Linked DNA regions of Callithrix jacchus. The protein of the gene in region 2 interacts with the protein of the main gene of each other region in a biochemical or structural test. Links are inferred from orthologs where the notes say so. Each region holds a gene or a part of one and is shown on either strand. Other genes may lie near its edges. The genes, in order: JUNB, MAPK9, ATF2, MAPK8IP3 and ELK1.

Region 1 (3,841 bases), on a different chromosome or scaffold from region 2:
GGGCCACCCGGCCCTGAGTCCTGCCGGCGGACTCCCGCCTGTTGCCATGGCGACCAGGCCCAGCTCTTGGGCTGCGTTTCCCGCTGTCGGTCCAATGGAACAGTCCCCAAGCTGTCTGCCTCGGCGATCCCCAGCAGGCGCCGCGGGAGGAACCATTGCCTGGGGGGAGAGGATGGTAGCTGGAGGCTTCTGCTGCTGGGCCGGCTCCAAGCACCAGGGCCTCCGCGTGGGCTCGCACGCCCAGGTTCCTCTTCCGAGGCGCAGGATGCGGCGGGACCCAGGGCGGGGCGCAAGGTCCCGTAGGATCCGAGTGACGGAGACAGGGCCGGGCTCCTTCCCCCGGGGCTGTTGCCACACTTCCTGCCTCGGCGCTCTTTCCCCAGCCTGTTTCTAAGGAAGGGAGTGTGGGGTTGGGCGACCGCGCCCCAGCCGTCGGGCTGGGTCCAGGCGCCGACAGGGTGTCGGGCAAAGCCCAGGGTCAATAGGGGAAGAGTTTTAGGATGGGGGACAGGGAATGCAGATGCCTAAGGGGTCACCCACGAGGGGGAGCACCAGTCATGGAAGATCAGCAGTCCGGGTGCGTGGACCCCAAAGCCCCCTCCTCACGTCAACTGAGTACCCTCTTACTGTCTTCTCTGCTCCGAAGATGGATCCGGATCCTTCTATCTCTCCTTCATCCAGGCTTCGCGGATAACTCCAGTGGTCCCCAATCTCTGCTAGACGTCTACATCTTCTACCCCGCACATTTTACCTGCCTCAGTGTACAGCAGGACCCTTATTCGCTTTCTGCATATCTAGATTTCTCCTAATTCCTCTTTCCCACGTATGGGGAGCTCTCAGATCCTCCCATGGGCTTCGGGACCCCTACTCATTTCTTGCAATTTAATGGGTCATGCAGCCCACCACTGTCCCCTTTTGATCTCTCCTCTCCTCCATCCTGTGAAAATTCCAGTACTCCATCCCTCTGTGCTTGGGGCCCCCAGTCAATTCCTGTGTCAGGTCTCTCCTTACCCCTCCCGATTTACCGTTAGTAACCCTCATTTCTGCTTTTTGGGGTCTCCCAATGAATTGTCAGTCCTTCCACCCCTCTCGTACTCTGGGTACCTCAGGGTTTCTTCGAACACCCTGGGATCTCCACCCCATTTGCTCCGTACCAGGTCCTGGTATTTGTCCCAGTGGGCTGGAGGGAAATCATCCTCCTCCCTGAGCGCCCTCACTCATGTGTCCAGGCCCCTCAGCACCTCCTTCCACGCGGACCCCGGGGTCCTTTGAGCCCCTCCCCCTGCAGCCCCGCCGAGCCACCCGGCCCGTGGCCGCTGTTTACAAGGACACGCGCTTCCTGACAGTGACGCGAGCCGCCTCCTCCCCTTCCCCACGCTCGAGGAGGGGGGCGCGGGGGCCCGGCTCCGGCGACGGCCAATCAGAGCGCACTTCCGTGGCTGACTAGCTTCTGTATAAAGGCGTGTGGCTCAGGCTGAGCGGCTGGGACCTGGAGAGCGGCCGGACCAGCTTCGGAGCCAGCAGGGAGCCGGGAGCTGGGAGCTGGGGGAAACCACTCCAGGAAAGCTAGCGCGCCGAAGAGGGTGAGGGGGACTCGAGAAGCCTGACAGCTTTTGCGTACAGCTTCCGGCTGGCTGCTCCCCGCCCGCGCCAGCCCCGGAGAACGCGCGACCAGGTACCCAGTCCGGCCACCGCAGCGGAGAGCGCGGCGCTCGCTGCAGCGAGGCCCGGGGCGGCCCCGCAGGGACCTTCCCCCGACCGCCTGGGCCGCCCGGATGTGCACTAAAATGGAACAGCCCTTCTACCACGACGACTCATACACTCCTGCGGGATACGGCCGGGCCCCCGGTGGCCTCTCTATACACGACTACAAACTCCTGAAACCCGGCCTGGCGCTCAACCTGGCCGACCCCTACCGGAGTCTCAAAGCGCCTGGGGCTCGGGGATCCGGCCCAGAGGGCGGCGGTGGCGGCAGCTACTTTTCTGGTCAGGGCTCGGACACCGGCGCGTCTCTCAAGCTCGCCTCTTCGGAGCTGGAACGCCTGATCGTCCCCAACAGCAACGGCGTGATCACGACGACGCCTACACCCCCAGGACAGTACTTTTACCCTCGCGGGGGTGGCAGCGGTGGGGGTGCGGGGGGCGCAGGGGGAGGCGTCACCGAGGAGCAGGAGGGCTTCGCCGACGGCTTTGTCAAAGCCCTGGACGACCTGCACAAGATGAACCACGTGACACCCCCCAACGTGTCCCTGGGCGCTAGCGGGGGGCCCCCGGCTGGGCCCGGGGGCGTCTACGCCGGCCCGGAGCCACCTCCCGTTTACACCAACCTCAGCAGCTACTCCCCAGCCTCTGCGTCCTCAGGAGGCGCCGGGGCTGCTGTCGGGACTGGGAGCTCGTACCCGACGGCCACCATCAGCTACCTCCCACACGCGCCGCCCTTTGCCGGTGGCCACCCGGCGCAGCTGGGCTTGGGCCGCGGCGCCTCCACTTTCAAGGAGGAACCGCAGACCGTGCCGGAGGCGCGCAGCCGGGACGCCACGCCGCCGGTGTCCCCCATCAACATGGAAGACCAAGAGCGCATCAAAGTGGAGCGCAAGCGGCTGCGGAACCGGCTGGCGGCCACCAAGTGCCGGAAGCGGAAGCTGGAGCGCATCGCGCGCCTGGAGGACAAGGTGAAGACGCTCAAGGCCGAGAACGCGGGGCTGTCGAGTACCGCCGGCCTCCTCCGGGAGCAGGTGGCCCAGCTCAAACAAAAGGTCATGACCCACGTCAGCAACGGCTGTCAGCTGCTGCTTGGGGTCAAGGGACACGCCTTCTGAGCGCCCCTGCCCCCTTACGGACACCCCCTCGCTGGACGGCTGGGCGCAAGCCTCCCACTGGGGTCTAGGGGGCAGGCGGTGGGCACCTACCCTGGGACCTGGGAGCGCCGCTAACCACACTGGACTCCGGCCCTCCCGCCCTGTGCCCAGTCCTTCCACCTCGACGTTTACAAGCCCCCCCGGTTCCACTTTTTTTTGTATGTTTTTTCTGCTGGAAACAGACTCGATTCATATTGAATATAATATATTTGTGTATTTAACAGGGAGGGGAGAAGGGGGCGATCGCGGCGGAGCTGGCCCCGCCGTCCGGTACTCAAGCCCACGGGGACATTGGGAAGGGGACCCCCGCCCCCTGTCCTCCCCTCTCTGCACCGTACTGTGGAAAAGAAACACGCACTTAGTCTCTAAAGAGTTTATTTTAAGACGTGTTTGTGTTTGTGTGTGTGTTTGTTCTTTTTATTGAATCTATTTAAGTAAAAAAAAAAATTGGTTCTTTATTAATTTCTGTTGTCTTTTTTTCCAAGCTGGGAGGGCCGAGGGAAAAAAAAAGCAATGGTTTGCCCCAGCTCAGTGCTGTAAGTGGCTCGGTCCTGTGTGTGTTCCCCTCTTCAGCTCTGCGCAGGCATCTTGTGGCCCGCCCGGGAGTCCCACCCTATACGCGCCTCCTGATCTCCAGGGTTGGATGGTCGGGGCGCGGGGCGCGGGGCGCGGGACGCGATTTCGGAGCCCAGTAGCAAAAGGCAGGGAGCTCTGCGCGAGACGCGGAGTGCGCAGGCGCGGCCCCGCCCAGCCGCGCGCGCCGGGGCTTTCCCCGCTGACGCAGCGGAAGCGCTGCCCATATAAGGACCGATTCTGCCCAGTGACGCGACCGCGGTCTCTGGGCAGATTCCGGGAATCCCCTCCCCCGCTCTGCCGGGCAGGGCCGCGGCGCCGGGAAGGGGGCCGGGATTTTCCCGGGCAGGCGGCTGCCCGGGCACGGAAAGCCCCAGGCCTGGGTCCAGAGCGGCCGCGGTGGGCGGGCA
Region 2 (3,537 bases):
GATTCATCCATGTCCCTACAAACGACACAAACTCATCATTTCTGATTGCTGCATAATATTCCATGGTGTATATGTGCCACATTTTTCCAATCCAGTCTATTATCAATGGGCATAAAATGCTTGTTCTTAACTTATTCTTTGATTTTAAAAAAAAGGAAACGAGAAGCAAATTGCTTCATTTGGTCTTAGCTCCAGACCAAGTCCTCACAGCGGAGAGTCCCTGGTTGAACTTGGGCTGCTTCTCCCCTGGCTTTCCTTCCTGTCGAGCAGCAGCCCAGCTTCTTTCTCTCAGGCCTCTCTGGGAACTGGGGGTGTCTGCACAGTACCCTGAGGTGGAATGGAGGGGCTAGGGGCTTCTTTTGGGGGCCAGGTAGAGATTGTCACTGCATTTTTAAACATTATATATTTATAATTTAAATTTTACAGAATCTAGGCAGCCTAGAAATAGAGCATTTAGCAGCATTGAAATGTAATTGTAACTGTTGTAAATATTCAAACGGCTTCCTGCTTGCCCTGAGAACAGTTCCACAGCCTTCACTGAGGCATACCTGAAACCCCCTTGTGGCCCATCAATTGGGATGTCTTAAAGTCAGGTGCTAGGCAGTTTTATGGAACGTGAAACTCCCCATGTAAAGTATCCTTGGGCTTTACCCTGTGTCAGTGGCTTGGCAATTTGACATTGCAGGTACACATTTTATACTCTTGTGAAAAGAATGGATGTGAGTTGTTTACAAGTCGCAGTCTCTAGCGTGAGTTTGCAGGCTGAAGTCCCCAGGCAAAAGTCAAATTCCTGAGTCCTAAGGAAGGAGGCTAGGGTGGTGGATCAGCAGGAAAAACATCCCTTAGTTATAAGGGAAGAGGTTGCCGAAGTTGTGTTAAGGCTTTGCAAGTGGGGTGGAATAGGATGCATGTCTTCATTCAGCGTACCCTATCCAAGTCGTGGGGGTGAGAAGACTTGAGGTGGATGATGATGGAATTGTTCGTCCAAGGAGAGAAAGAGCCATGGGAACATCCCAGGGTTAGAGGATTCTAGGCCTGTGCTGTCCAGAATGGCAGCCACCAACCACAGGAAGCTGTAGAGTACTCAGGATGTGGCCATGCTGCAGTTGTCAAATACATACTGGACTTCAAAGCCTCAGTACCAAAAAGAGAATATAAAATATCTCAAGGTTTTTCTGATGTTGATTACATTTTGAAATTATAATATGGATATATTGGGTTAAATAAAATATATTATTAAAATTAATTTCACCTATTTCTGTTCACACTGTTGAACATGGCTACTAGAAAATGTAAATTATACACATGGTTCACATTATATGGCATTGTCGATTTAACAGCACTACCCTAGACTGACAGTGAGCACGAGGACCTTAGCAGAAGAGAATCAGAGTATTGGGGAACTGAAGTCCAGGTGTGGAGGACGGGACATGTGGATGCTTAGACGGAGGGTAGACTGAGTAGCCTGAGGGCCTGCAAGGCCACAGAAAGGACAAAGGAAGGCCATGAACGTTTTCATTGGGAGTAAGGGGTACCATCTGACCTCTTTAGACTGATTTGTTTTAGTTTCAATTTCAGAGTAAGATTTTTCAAAATTGTTCCCAAATCCCAGAGTTCAGTTTACTCCCTACACTCTCACACTGGCTTCACAGACCCTTACGGATATGTAGCAGTTTATTTAGCATGCTCTGTTCTTTTTACTGATTTAAACTATTTCTTTCCTAGGATTTGAAGCCTAGCAACATTGTTGTGAAATCAGACTGCACCCTGAAGATCCTTGACTTTGGCCTGGCACGCACAGCGTGCACTAACTTTATGATGACTCCTTATGTGGTGACACGGTACTACCGGGCACCTGAAGTCATCCTGGGTATGGGCTACAAAGAGAATGGTGAGTAAAGGCAGGACTGGAAGAGGCTGAGATGTTTAGAAATTGCTCTAGTGGTGGTCCTGAGTTTTTTCTCTTTCCTTTGAACCATATGGTGTAGACCGTGGGAACTGTTACATATAGAATAGCATGATCCAGAGATAATAAATAATTAATTGTGTTTTTCCATTGGTTAAATCATTCCCTTTTAAAATTTTGCTTTTAAAATTAGTATTTTGAACTTTTTATCGACATTTAATCTACCTATAGCCAAGTGTGCAGATCCTGAGTGTGCAGTTGAGCTGATACGAGCACACCTACAGGACCAGCAGCTCTGGCCTCCCCATAGCCCCTCCTCCTCCCAGCCCACGAAGCTGGCCAATCTCCTGATCTCTAGCACCATGAATTGGTTTTTCTTGTTGGTTTTGTGATATAAATGGATTAATACATGTTCTCTTTCATGTAAAATTGGTATCTTTTTACATCAAAATTTAGCTTATTCTAGCAATATCAGAGCTCTTTGAAACTTGGCTTTTAGCAAATTTGATGAAAATAACTAAATCACACTTACTTTTTTTTATTATTATTAACAAATATTTGGTATTTTCTCAACTTATTTTTAAAAAGACTGAAATTTACCCAGGTCATCTGAAACAAGTTTTACTCCAGGTTTATCTTGCTGCATTGTAGCATGTGTTCCCACCCTGAGAGGCACAGCTTCATGTGCTTCCTGTGGAAGGGAGAGAAAACTAGATCCCCTGTTCACTTCTCCCCCCTGCCCACCAGCAGAGCACTTAGAGGGCTCTGCTGTCTGTCTGAGGCCAGGGGGACCAGCATGGCATCACAGATGAGGGCGGGAAGTCTGGGCCCCTATAGCAGGGTCACATTTGCAGTCCTGCAAGCCAGCCACTGTGTGCTGCATATTCCCCCACCGAGTGCTGCTGCCTTTCTGATAGGGCAGTCTAGAAAATGATCTGCTCATTTGGTGTGGTGTCCACAGTACACAAAAGCTCCTGCTGGCAAGCTGGTGACATTTACTGGGTTTGTCTCTGGGAGGGGGTTTGGAGAAAAGAGATGTGGGGCTGTAGCTGGTTTTTAATCCCCTGGTGTTTGGTAGTGGACATCTGGTCTGTCGGGTGCATCATGGCAGAAATGGTCCTCCATAAAGTCCTGTTCCCAGGAAGAGACTGTATCCTTCACAGGGGACCTGGCACTTGGCCATGGAGGCTGGGGGCAGGGTGGGCATATGACCCTGAAAAGCTTTGTGTTCACAGGCACTTCTTGTTTCTGGTTTTTTGTTTGTTTTAAGCTCTAAAGTATTGGACTCTTTGGCACTAAAACCCCAGATTGCTACAAACTGAAGGCTAAAATAGAGGTCAGCAATCATTCATATTGTGTAAAAAGTTCACCCTTAGCTAGCAATTTATTTTTCCATATTTGTGTGTTTAGTGCACTGTTAGAATTCCTTTTCCTCACCTTTGTTTTGCTCATGGCACTTCATAATTTTATCATTTCATTTTATTTTCAGTTGATATCTGGTCAGTGGGTTGCATCATGGGAGAGCTGGTGAAAGGTTGTGTGATATTCCAAGGCACTGACCGTATCCTTCCCCGCGACCTTGGCCCCGCCATGCTTTCCATAATGTCTCAGGCAGCATGACCACCTGCTTA
Region 3 (3,537 bases), on a different chromosome or scaffold from region 2:
TGGATCACCTGAGGTCAGGAGTTGGAGACCAGCCTGGCCAATGTGGTAAAACTCCATCTCTACTAAAAATACAAAAATTAGCCAGGCATAGTTGCGTGCACCTATAATCCCAGCTACTTGGGAGGCTGAGACAGGACAATCACTTGAACTTGGGAGGTGGAGGTTGCAGTGAGTCAAGAGCACACCACTGCACTCCAGCCTGGGTGATAACAGAGTGAGACTCTATCTAAAAAAAAAAAAAAAAAAATTTTTACATATATATCAGTTGACAAATGATAAAATATATTTCTTAACCCTAGAAGATAGGCACATATTTTAAGTCTATGTGATGTGGTAAGTTGTATTTAAATTTCTTCTAAATCATTAAAATAAAATCGTTAAAAATGTTTTGCAAGACAATCTATTCTATTATATCAATATGCAAAGCATAATAAAGACTTGAAAGATGTCTGCTTCAGATTTAAAATAATTTACATTATAAAATTTACATTTGGTTAAATGCTATGTCTGATGCTAAAAACTGTTTCCTAACCATTTAAACAGACAATTATATTGGTGACATCTTTATAGACGGCTTTAAGAAGACAGCAGGTTTCTTACTATCAATTATGATTATATGGAAAGATTCACTTTTAACTGGGTATGGATAATTCAGGAGATTGGGCTAGATTAATAACAACTGCAATTCATAACATAAATTTTCTAGTTGATACTCATCAATCAACTGGTAGTTTAAGATTATATGGGAGAATATTTACATTAAAAAACACAACAAAAACAAAAGGAAGGAAGAAAGACAAAACAAAAAACAGATTTGGTGCTGTCTTAAAACTTTATACTCCATGAGGTTTTAAAGAAATGTATCTGAGGCACATTGGCAGGGCAGTATGAAATGATCTGTATTGCCACTGGCCATATTGTACCTGGTCTGTGGATAATTAGAGTCCTTCAGTTTCCAAAGCTGTCAATCTGGCACATTTCACGAGCAATATATTCTCTTTAAATAAAACAAAACAGAACAAAATTTATAATTCAAAGAATGAAAGAATTTAAAAACTGCTACTGAAGCAACTTTAGTTGTGCTATAAACCAAAGATGAGTGAAATAACTGATATTTTAAAATTTTTAAATTATCTGCACTTAATATCACAACTTTATAAAGTTCAAACCAGATAAGTTTGGCTACTTTTATAAGCAGGTAAACATGTTTTAAATTTCCTCATTGTATCAGTGTTGAAAGTTTTATATTACTTCATCCCAGCATTCAAACAAACAGGCTTACAAAACTATGATTTTCTACAGTTCCATACACACCCAATATTATGTCCTAAAATGTTTGGAGGGCCAACTAGAATAAAAAGAAAATAGCTATATTCACAATTATTTAAAAAGAAATGAATAAAACAAAATTCACATATATGCACCATACCTGCAGTTGACCATTTAAAGAACTCAAGTCTTCTGCTTTCTTCTCTAAAGACTGAACCCAGACTTTCCTTTTTTGTCGGCATCTTGAAGCTGCTGCTCTATTTCGCTCTAAGAACTTTCTCCTTTTTTCATCAGGATCTTCATTAGCTGCTCTTCTCCGACGACCACTTGTACTTTGGGTCTGTGGAGTTGTGTGAGCTGGAGAAGCCTATTATAAACAGAGAGGAAAACTTGTTATATTTGTATTTAGTGAGTGAATTAACATAGACAATAAAGGGTGTCAAAGAGGGACAGCAACTGTATTTTCTAAGTCTGATTGAATACATAAGCATGTTGGCGCAATATGAAAATCACCCTGTGGCCGGGCACGGTGGCTCATGCCTGTAATCCCAGCACTCTGGGAAGCCGAGGTGGGCGATCACCTGAGGTCTAGAGTTTGAGACCAGCCTGGACAACATAGAGAAACTCCGTCTCTACTAAAAATACAAAATTAGCTGGGTGTGGTGACATGCACCTGTAATCCCAGGTACGTGGGAGGTTGAGGCAGGAGAATCCCTTGAACCCAGGAGGTAGAGGTTGCAGTGAGCTGAGATTGCACCATTGCACTCCAGCCTGAGTGACAAGAGTGAAATTCTGTCTTAAAAAAAAAAAAAAAAAAGATTAAAAAAAAAAAGAAAAAGAAAATCACCCTTAAGTGGTTTAACTTCTTTCTTAAATATACTTATGAGCTATGCTATATAATACAATTCTCACTAATGCAATGTAATAGCAAATGTATTCTTTAAAGTATGTATAGTTTCATTTATGTGCAAATATGAAAAAAATCAAAATACAATATAAATGATACATAGAAATATTTTTCCAAGTGTATTTTAACAGACTTTATTGTATTATTCAATCCCTGGAAAACTAGTGATTATAAATTTCTCAATTAAAACGTTTAATAGCTTCCTATTTAAATCCATGATAGTAAACCATAATTTCTATGCTATTTTTAAATTAAATATCTCATATTAAATGTCAATTTTCTTAAAGAAAACTGGCTTCTCTAAAGTTATGGAGTGAAAATATGTATATTCTTTGGTATATTCAGCTTTTCTTCAGTTTGTGAAATTTAAGGTCATAGTCTTTTTCTAAGGGTCAAGTTCTTGTATTTATTAAGGCTAATTTTTCTGGTAGGGAGAATCCCACAGGAACTTTAAAATTTTCATTTTATTTGCTCCCTTCTGCTCTCCAACAAATCAGCTTGGTTATCTCAGATTAGCCAGAGAAGGAAATCTTCAGTCACTAGTTATATTGTCTGGTGTCTAAGACTATTGAACTCAGTCACTAGTTACATTGTCTTGTGTCTCAGACTATTGAACAATAGGTACCTTCAAGCCTTTCTCAAGCCCCAAAATTGTACCACAGAACAAATGAATATGGACATTAGAAAATAAACTCTTGGCCAGGTGCAGTGGCTCATGCCTGTAATCCCAGCATTTGGGAGGCCGAGGCGGGCAGATCACTTGAGGTTGGAAGTTCGAGACCAGCCTGGCCAACATGGTAAAACCCCCATCTCTAATAAAAATATAGAAAAATTAGCCCGACATGGTGGCGCATTCCTGTAATCCCAGCTACTCCTGAGGCTGAGGCACGAGAATTGCCTGAAACTGGGAGGCAGAGGTTGCAGTGAGCTGAGACAATGCCAGGGCACTCCAGCCTGGACAACAGAGCAAGACTCAGTCTCAAAAAAAAGAAAGAAAAAAGATAATGAACTCTTGGAAATGGTGCAGAGAAAAGAAAACTTTGTGGCCATAGGCACGTGATCCAAAGGAGAAGCCTGAAAACAATCTTTTACCTATAATTTATTAAAAAATAATATGCACAAATAAAATTTGTTTTCTCCTAATCTATGTAATTAAAATCTTATATAGGGCTCAAGATAAATTCTTCATGTAAATTACCAAACTATTTTTCACTCTACAAATTCTAAAAAATACAGTTATTATTTCTTTGTCCTAATAACTGGCATTACAAAGAGAGTTATTTCATTTATAAAGTATTTTACACCTGGGGAACATAGCAAAACCTCATTTCTACAAATAATTTTAAAAATTAGCTAAGTGT
Region 4 (4,222 bases), on a different chromosome or scaffold from region 2:
AAGTGCAAATCTTCTGGAACAACACATTAAGTTCAGGCCTCAAGTACTTCCAGAGAGAAAGTCGTGAGGACACTAGCTCAGAATGGGGGAAGGGGAGCCTGCGCCAAGAGTCAACCAGGATGACATGCAGAATCAGACCTGCAAAGGCTGCAGACACGTACTTATGAGACACACACAAAGCTTAAAAAGATAACTACGTGTTTGGAAGTAGTAAGAACCTATCAAAATGCTAAAATATTAGAAATCAAATAGGTCAAAAATAGAATCATTGGCTGGGCACAGCCTCACTTGGGGAGTGAGGTAATCCCAGCACTTGGGGAGGCTGGCCAATATGGTGAAACCCCTGCCTCTACTAAAAATACAAAACATAAGCCAAGTGTAATGGCGCACGCCTGTAGTCCCAGTTACTCGAAAGGCTGAGGCAGTCGAATCGCATGGACCCCGGAGGCAGAGGTTGCAGTGAGCCGAGATCGCGCCACTGCAGTCTATCCTGGGCGACAGAATGAGACTTGGTCTCACCACCCAAAAAATTATATACATATCTTTGAAATTAGTAACTCAGTGGACGGGTAACAGATTGCACAGAGCTGAAATGTTCGGTGCCGTGGCTCACGCCTCTCATCCCAACATTCTGGGTGGCCGAGTCAGGAGGATCACTTGAGGTCAGGAGTTCGAGACCAGCCTGGCCAATATGGTGAAACCCCATCTCTACTAAAAATACAAAATTATCTGGCCTGTAATCGCAGGTACTCGCAAGGCTAAGCCAGGAGAATGACTTGAACCCGGGAGGCAAGGGTTGCAGTGAGCCGGGATTGCGCCACTGTATCCAGCCTGAGTGACAGAGCGAGCCTCCATCTCGAAAGAAAAAAACCGGAAAATCTGAGTAAGTCACACTGTGCAGTAGGGAGAAGTGGGCGAAAGGAAGAAGGCCACTCTGCCGGGTTTCAGGATGAGATGGGCGTTGAAGATGCATTCACAGAATCCCGGGAAGAGCCAGCTGAGTTGGGAGGCACCAGGAGAGGGGAGGCGCCGGGCGCGGACTGAGCTGGGCGCAGTGCCGCAGGGAACGTAGGCGCATCAGGGCGGTCGGGAGGAGGCGCAGGCGCTGAACCTTCACCTAAAGCCGCTGGTGCGTGCAGAGCCTGGGGACGCGAACGAGGTCACCGGAAGCCCAGGGTGGCCGAGACGTGCTCAAGCTACCGCGCGCTGCGGACAACAGGCGCCGCCCCGGGGCTCCCACCAGCCAGCCTAACCAGGAGCGCCCCCAGCCCGGCTCAGTCGCGCTTCCGGCCTAAAGCCCGGCTTCCTCTGACGTCACGGCCCCTGCGCCCCCTGGCGGCGCGGCCGCCGCAGGACGCGCGGGCACCGCCCCCTCCGGCTGGCGGGCGGGACTTCCGGCTAGTGAGTGACGGGCGCAGCCTCGGCAGCGGCGGCGGAGCCCTGAGGCGACAGCAGCTGCAGGAGGCGACGGGCCGCGGCCTGCGGGACCTGAGGCAGCCGGGGCGGGCCGGGCGAGCCGGCCGGAGAGCTAGCCGCGCTGGCGGCGGCGGTGGCCGCGATGATGGAGATCCAGATGGACGAGGGCGGCGGCGTGGTGGTGTACCAGGACGACTACTGCTCCGGCTCGGTGATGTCGGAGCGGGTGTCGGGCCTGGCGGGCTCCATCTACCGCGAGTTCGAGCGCCTCATCCACTGCTACGACGAGGAGGTGGTCAAGGAGCTCATGCCGCTGGTGGTGAACGTGCTGGAGAACCTGGACTCGGTGCTCAGCGAGAACCAGGAGCACGAGGTGGAGCTGGAGCTGCTGCGCGAGGACAACGAGCAGCTCCTCACCCAGTACGAGCGCGAGAAGGCGCTGCGCAGGCAGGCGGAGGAGGTGCGTGGCCGCGGGGCCCCTGGGCGCCCGCCCCGGGACTCCTCACTCCAGACCCAGACCCCAGACCCAGACCCCAGACCCCGCCCCGGGACTCCTCACTGCAGACCCAGACCCCAGACCCCGCCCCGGGACTCACTCACTGCAGACCCAGACCCCAGACCCAGACCCCGCCCCGGGACTCACTCCAGACCCAGACCCCAGACCCCGCCCCGGGACTCACTCACTGCAGACCCAGACCCCAGACCCAGACCCCGCCCCGGGACTCACTCACTGCAGACCCAGACCCCAGACCCCGCCCCGGGACTCCTCACTCCAGACCCAGACCCCAGACCCCGCCCCGGGACTCCTCACTCCAGACCCAGACCCCAGACCCAGACCCCAGACCCCGCCCCGGGACTCCTCACTCACTCCAGACCCAGACCCCAGACCCCAGACCCCGCCCCGGGACTCCTCACTCCAGACCCAGACCCCAGACCCAGACCCCAGACCCCGCCCCGGGACTCCTCACTCACTCCAGACCCAGACCCCAGACCCCAGACCCCGCCCCGGGACTCCCCCACCCCCTCTGCCCCCCCGGACCCAGACCCCGCCCCGGGACTCACTCCAGACCCAGACCCCAGACCCCGCCCCGGGACTCACTCACTCCAGACCCAGACCCCAGACCCAGACCCCAGACCCCGCCCCGGGACTCCCCCACCCCCTCTGCCCCCCCGGACCCAGACCCCGCCCCGGGACTCACTCCAGACCCAGACCCCAGACCCCGCCCCGGGACTCACTCACTCCAGACCCAGACCCCAGACCCAGACCCCAGACCCCGCCCCGGGACTCACTCACTCCAGACCCAGACCCAGACCCCAGACCCCGCCCCGGGACTCCCCCACCCCCTCTGCCCCCCCGGACCCAGACCCCGCCCCGGGACTCACTCCAGACCCAGACCCCAGACCCCGCCCCGGGACTCCTCACTCACTCCAGACCCAGACCCCAGACCCCAGACCCCGCCCCGGGACTCACTCCAGACCCAGACCCCAGACCCAGACCCCGCCCCGGGACTCCAGACCCAGACCCCGCCCCGGGACTCCCCCACCCCCTCTGCCCGCCCCGGACCCAGACCCCGACCCGGGACTCCGGGACCCCTCGGCGCCCGCCCCGGCACTCACTCCAGACCCAGACCCCGCCCCGGGACTCCGGGACCCCTCGGCGCCCGCCCCGGACCCAGACCCAGAACCCAGACCCCGCCCCGGGACTCCGGGACCCAGACCCCGCCCCGGGACTCCCCCACCCCCTCTGCCCGCCGCGAGACGTCTCCCTAGAGCACCCCCCGCCTGCCCAGGCCTGGGCCCTGGCCCCCTCCTGCAGGCCCTCCAAACCCGCTGTGCCTGGCGTCGTCCCCGGGGAGCTCAGCCTCAAAGCCGGGCCCCGCTGTCTCCCCCGCCCCGCAACCTCTGCGTGCCGGTTCCCTTTGCTTTGGTGCCTGTGTTGAGTCCAAACCGCTTTCCAGACCCCGAATGCTCCTACCTCTGTCAGCCGCCGTTCTAAACCCATCTGGAAAAGGAATCTGGTTTTCTGAGGGTGCTGCGGCCTCTGTGCAGAGGTCGGAGACCTGTCCCTTGTCCCTGACCCCGTGTTTGAAGGTCTGACATGGGGGAATTGACCGCTTGATGTAAACACAGAGCAAGGCCGCGGACGAGCTGCCCCTGTCGGCAGGCCGAGCACCCGCCTTCTAGAGGTGATCTCTTTGCCCCTCGGTTCCCTGCCTGGCGAGGCCAGCGCTCAGAAACTCCACTCTGGCTTCTGAGGAGTTAAAAGTCCGAGTTCGGAGCGTTTAATTCTGTTCTAGGATGTCGCCATCACCTGGAAATCGCTGATTTGTGAAGCCGGTGGAAGCCCTGCCCGTAGGGAGCACCACTTAGCTTCATTGATTCACCATCAGATACTGAGGGGGCCCAGAGCCTCGCCCTTGGTCGGAAGCAGGTTCGGGGCGCGCTGGTTCCCGTCCCTGCTTTGCCTCTGTGACCTTGGCCTGTCGCCTGCCCGGGTTTGGATTTTCCATCAGAGGAGTGAATTGCGCTAGGCGGTCTCTAAGCTCAGACATTTTCCCATTCTGGGAGTTAGGTGATGCCGTCGGACTTGTGAATAGGACGTATCTTAGGAAACGACTTTAAATTCCTTTCAGTTAATTCGGCTTCACATGTTCTTGACTTTATATGAAAATAAGAGTTTTTCAGCATTTTGGCTTTTTCTGAAACCACGGTGAGTTATGCCCGAGTGTGGTTTAGAGCATGTTTATAAAAAACAGTCGTATCATTGCCCCTTACTGTGGTTTCTGTTGCGTTGGCTTTCGTGCTG
Region 5 (3,537 bases), on a different chromosome or scaffold from region 2:
ATCAGGTTTTGCTGCCAAAAGAGTTAAAAGAAGCTTTCTGTTTTTAGAGCATTTTTGGATTTTGGAATAGCAGATAAGGGACTGTGAACAAAATCAGCAACTAATATTTAGAGCTTATCATACACCTCAGGCATATGATATTTCATACATACAATATCCCTATGAACTACGTATTATTGCTATCCTATTTTACCAATGGGCATATCATTATCTCCATTTTACAGGTGAGAAAATTGAGGTACAAAGAGGTTAAAGATTATCGGCCAAGCATGGCGCCTCATGCCTGTAATCCCAGCACTTCAGGAGGCCAGGGAGAGAGGATTGCTTGAGCCTGAGAGTTTCAGAACAGTCTGGGCAAGGTAGTAAGACCCCCATCTCTAAAAAACGAAAAAGAATATGCCCAGGGTCACACAGCTAATAAGTGGCAGAACCAGGATTCAAACACTGGAAGTTTGGCCCTAGTGCCTGGGCAGTTGTCCAGCAGGCCACGTTGCCTCTCAGCTTAGAACAGTGCCTGATGCGTATTAAGCTGTCCATAGATGTTAATTATTACTGTCATCAAGAAAGAACATTCAGGTCCGAGCACGGTGGCTCGTGCCTGTAATTCCAGCACTGGGAGGCTGAGGTGGGAGGTAGGTGGATCACTTGAGGTCAGGAGTTCAAGATCAGCCTGGCCAACATGGTGAAACCCCATCTCTACTAAAAATACAAAAGTTAGGCAGGCATGGTGGTGGGTACCTGTAATCCCAGCTATGCAGGAGGCTGATGCATGAGAATCGCTTGAACCTGGGAGGCAGAGGTTGCGGTGAGTCAGGATTGTGCCACTGCACTGCACTCCAGCCTGGGCGATAGAGAGAGACTCCATCCCCCCAAAAAACAAAAACAAAAAAAAGAGAACATTCACGGACAGTAACAGGACAGAGAGAACAGGTGTTCAGTTTTAGGATGGCTTCATAAAGGAAAGGACCTTTGAGCTGGGACTTGAAAGGTAAGGAAGACTGCTAGGTGGAAGAAGGAAGCCCCACGTTGAGTGAGTAGCGTTTGCAAGGGTCTGGCAATAAAAAAAAAACCTGAAAACTTGACATTGATATGGTAGAAGATACAGATAATGCCCGAGTGAGGGGGATGGAACTAGTTTTCTATTCTCGCTGTAATAAATTATCACAAACTTAGCCACTTAAAACAACGCATTTGTTATCTTATAGTTGTGTAGGTCAGAAGTCCCACACTGGTCTCAGTGGGCTGGAATCCAGGTGTTGGCAGAGTTGTGTTCCTTCTGAAGGCTCTAGGGGAAAACCCGTTTCCTGCTCATTCAAGTTGTTGGCAGAATCCAATTCCTTGAGGTTGTAGGACTGAAGTCCCTGTTTCCTTACTGTCTGTCGGCTGGTAGCCATTCCCAGCTCTAAGAGGCTGCCCACAGTCCTTGGCTCTGAGCCCCCTTCCTCCATCTTCAGAGCCAACAATGGCAGGTTGAGTTCCTCTCACATTTCAAATCTCCCTGCCTCTTCTGTCGTCACATCTCTGAGCTACCTTTCTTCATCATCTGCTTTTCAGAGCTCATATGATTAGATTGAATTTACTCAAATAATCTCCCTATCTTAAGGTTTGTAACCTTAATTTCATCTGCAAAGTTCCTTTCTGCTGTGTAGTATAAATAACACATCCAGGGATTACGATATGGAGCAGGGGTGGCATCATTTGGCCTACCACAGTCTGCCCTCTGACCCTCATAGATTGACATTTGTCCCACATGGAAAATAAATTCACACCATCCTAAGATACCCACGAATTGTATTCATAACAGGGAGCAGCCCATGCTAGACTGGGCAGCTAGAAGTTAGCCTGGGGATGTTGAGGGAATGATGGTAGGGTTTGAGGACAGAGATGGAAAAAAGATGACAGAAAAAGGAACCCTCCCCCCGCTGACCCCTTCCCCTCCTATGTCCACTGCCTGTCAACTCAGCTGTTCGCTCTCCAGGTACCCCTGGGATGGCGTGAGCACTCCCCCAGCGATGGACCCATCTGTGACGCTGTGGCAGTTTCTGCTGCAGCTGCTGAGAGAACAGGGCAATGGCCACATCATCTCCTGGACTTCACGGGATGGTGGTGAATTCAAGCTGGTGGATGCAGAGGAGGTGGCCCGGCTGTGGGGGCTACGCAAGAACAAGACCAACATGAATTACGACAAGCTCAGCCGGGCCTTGCGGTACTACTATGACAAGGTACAGTCTCTGAGACCAGAGCTGGGACCCCCTGACATAAATATATAAATAGATATAAATATGAGAGATATTTCTTTTGTTTTAATTGCTATAGCTATGAATATTTATACCAGTATTTTTAATATTCTTGTCTAATTGCTGTTGTTGCTTCATTTTCTTACCACTTTAGCTTCAGCCTCCACAGTGGTGGTAATAAGGAGGCCTCCTCACCCTGTCCTCTGCAGTGACCTTGCCCTGTTCCACTTCTGTGTCATTAGCTTCAAATAATCCTCTGTATGAATAATTCATCACCCCATCCATCTACATTAATATACTGTCTTCCAGCATTTATATCAGTTACTTCATTTTCTTATCTTATTGCATTTGCTAGTCACCAGAACTGTGTCCTGACAGCCACCCACAAGGCCTGGTCCTGTGAACCCCTGGTTCTTGGAGCCAGGAGGAAGACCTATTCCCATACCTATTCCCTTTCATCCCACTGTGAAGAGGAAGTTATAGGACTGAAGTCCCTGGTGGGTCGGGGAGGGAAAATCAGATAGACAGACCTGGAGAGTGACAGAGGGGAGACTTGGAGAGGGGTTGATGGGAAGGGGCTTAAAGAAAGAATTGTCGGCTGGTCACGGGTGCTCATGCCTCTAATCCAGAACTTTAGGAGGCTGAGGCAAGCGGATCATGAGGTCAGGAGATCAAGACCATCCTAGCCAACATGGTGAAACCCTGTCTCTACTAAAATTACAAAAATTAGCCAGGTGTGGTGACATGTGCCTGTAGTCCCAGCTACTTGGGAGGCTGAGGCAGGAGAACTGCTTGAACCTGGGAGGCAGAGGTTGCAGTGAGCCAAGATCACACCACTGCACTCCAGCCTGGGCAACAGAGCAAGACTCCAGCTCAAAAAATAAAATTGCTGTGGGGAGAAGAGAGAAAGGGAGAGACTGGGGAGGGATACAGACAAGGGGATTCTAGGGGGAGAGGAAATGGGCTGGGAGGGGAACTTACAGAGACTGGAAAGCCGGAGGGGGGCAAGTAGAGAGAAGCCACTAGGAGAAGAGAAACACCACTCTGCCCTTCTTCTCCTCTGACACCCTGCCTCCAGCCTGCCCCTTTCCTCTAAGGCCCTCTGTTCCTCTCCTCCCTTCCTAGAATATCATCCGCAAGGTGAGCGGCCAGAAGTTCGTCTACAAGTTTGTGTCCTATCCTGAAGTTGCAGGGTGCTCCACTGAGGACTGCCTGCCCCAGCCAGAGGTGTCTGTTAACTCCACCATGGCAAATGTGGCCCCTGCTGCTATACATGCCACCCCAGGGGACACTGCCTCGG

Evidence for each region.
Region 1: the proteins of MAPK9 (region 2) and JUNB form a complex in vitro, tested with the Homo sapiens proteins (2 studies listed by BioGRID). The link is inferred for Callithrix jacchus from reciprocal best matches to the Homo sapiens genes MAPK9 and JUNB.
Region 3: of the proteins of MAPK9 (region 2) and ATF2, one has a biochemical effect on the other in vitro, tested with the Homo sapiens proteins (4 studies listed by BioGRID and IntAct, with this or other methods). The link is inferred for Callithrix jacchus from reciprocal best matches to the Homo sapiens genes MAPK9 and ATF2.
Region 4: the proteins of MAPK9 (region 2) and MAPK8IP3 form a complex in vitro, tested with the Homo sapiens proteins (2 studies listed by BioGRID). The link is inferred for Callithrix jacchus from reciprocal best matches to the Homo sapiens genes MAPK9 and MAPK8IP3.
Region 5: of the proteins of MAPK9 (region 2) and ELK1, one has a biochemical effect on the other in vitro, tested with the Homo sapiens proteins (2 studies listed by BioGRID). The link is inferred for Callithrix jacchus from reciprocal best matches to the Homo sapiens genes MAPK9 and ELK1.

The regions. Positions count from the first base shown.
Region 1 is NC_133523.1:11,614,670-11,618,510, forward strand, and holds JUNB (transcription factor JunB), read left to right. Parts: upstream 1-1,484; 5' UTR 1,485-1,775; coding exon 1,776-2,819; 3' UTR 2,820-3,320; downstream 3,321-3,841. UniProt on the Homo sapiens protein: Transcription factor involved in regulating gene activity following the primary growth factor response. Binds to the DNA sequence 5'-TGA[GC]TCA-3'.
Region 2 is NC_133503.1:71,371,767-71,375,303, forward strand, and holds part of MAPK9 (mitogen-activated protein kinase 9), read left to right. Parts: intron 1-1,725; coding exon 1,726-1,891; intron 1,892-2,984; coding exon of another isoform or gene 2,985-3,056; intron 3,057-3,176; coding exon of another isoform or gene 3,177-3,205; exon of another isoform or gene 3,206-3,242; intron 3,243-3,395; coding exon 3,396-3,467; exon of another isoform or gene 3,468-3,537. UniProt on the Homo sapiens protein: Serine/threonine-protein kinase involved in various processes such as cell proliferation, differentiation, migration, transformation and programmed cell death.
Region 3 is NC_133507.1:54,352,834-54,356,370, reverse strand, and holds part of ATF2 (cyclic AMP-dependent transcription factor ATF-2), read right to left. Parts: intron 1,637-3,537; coding exon 1,430-1,636; intron 998-1,429; exon of another isoform or gene 924-997; intron 1-923. UniProt on the Homo sapiens protein: Transcriptional activator which regulates the transcription of various genes, including those involved in anti-apoptosis, cell growth, and DNA damage response.
Region 4 is NC_133513.1:3,958,985-3,963,206, forward strand, and holds the start of MAPK8IP3 (C-Jun-amino-terminal kinase-interacting protein 3), read left to right. Parts: upstream 1-1,400; 5' UTR 1,401-1,558; coding exon 1,559-1,876; intron 1,877-4,222.
Region 5 is NC_133524.1:48,602,867-48,606,403, reverse strand, and holds part of ELK1 (ETS domain-containing protein Elk-1), read left to right. Parts: intron 1-1,978; 5' UTR 1,979-2,012; coding exon 2,013-2,222; intron 2,223-3,362; coding exon 3,363-3,537. UniProt on the Homo sapiens protein: Transcription factor that binds to purine-rich DNA sequences. Forms a ternary complex with SRF and the ETS and SRF motifs of the serum response element (SRE) on the promoter region of immediate early genes such as FOS and IER2.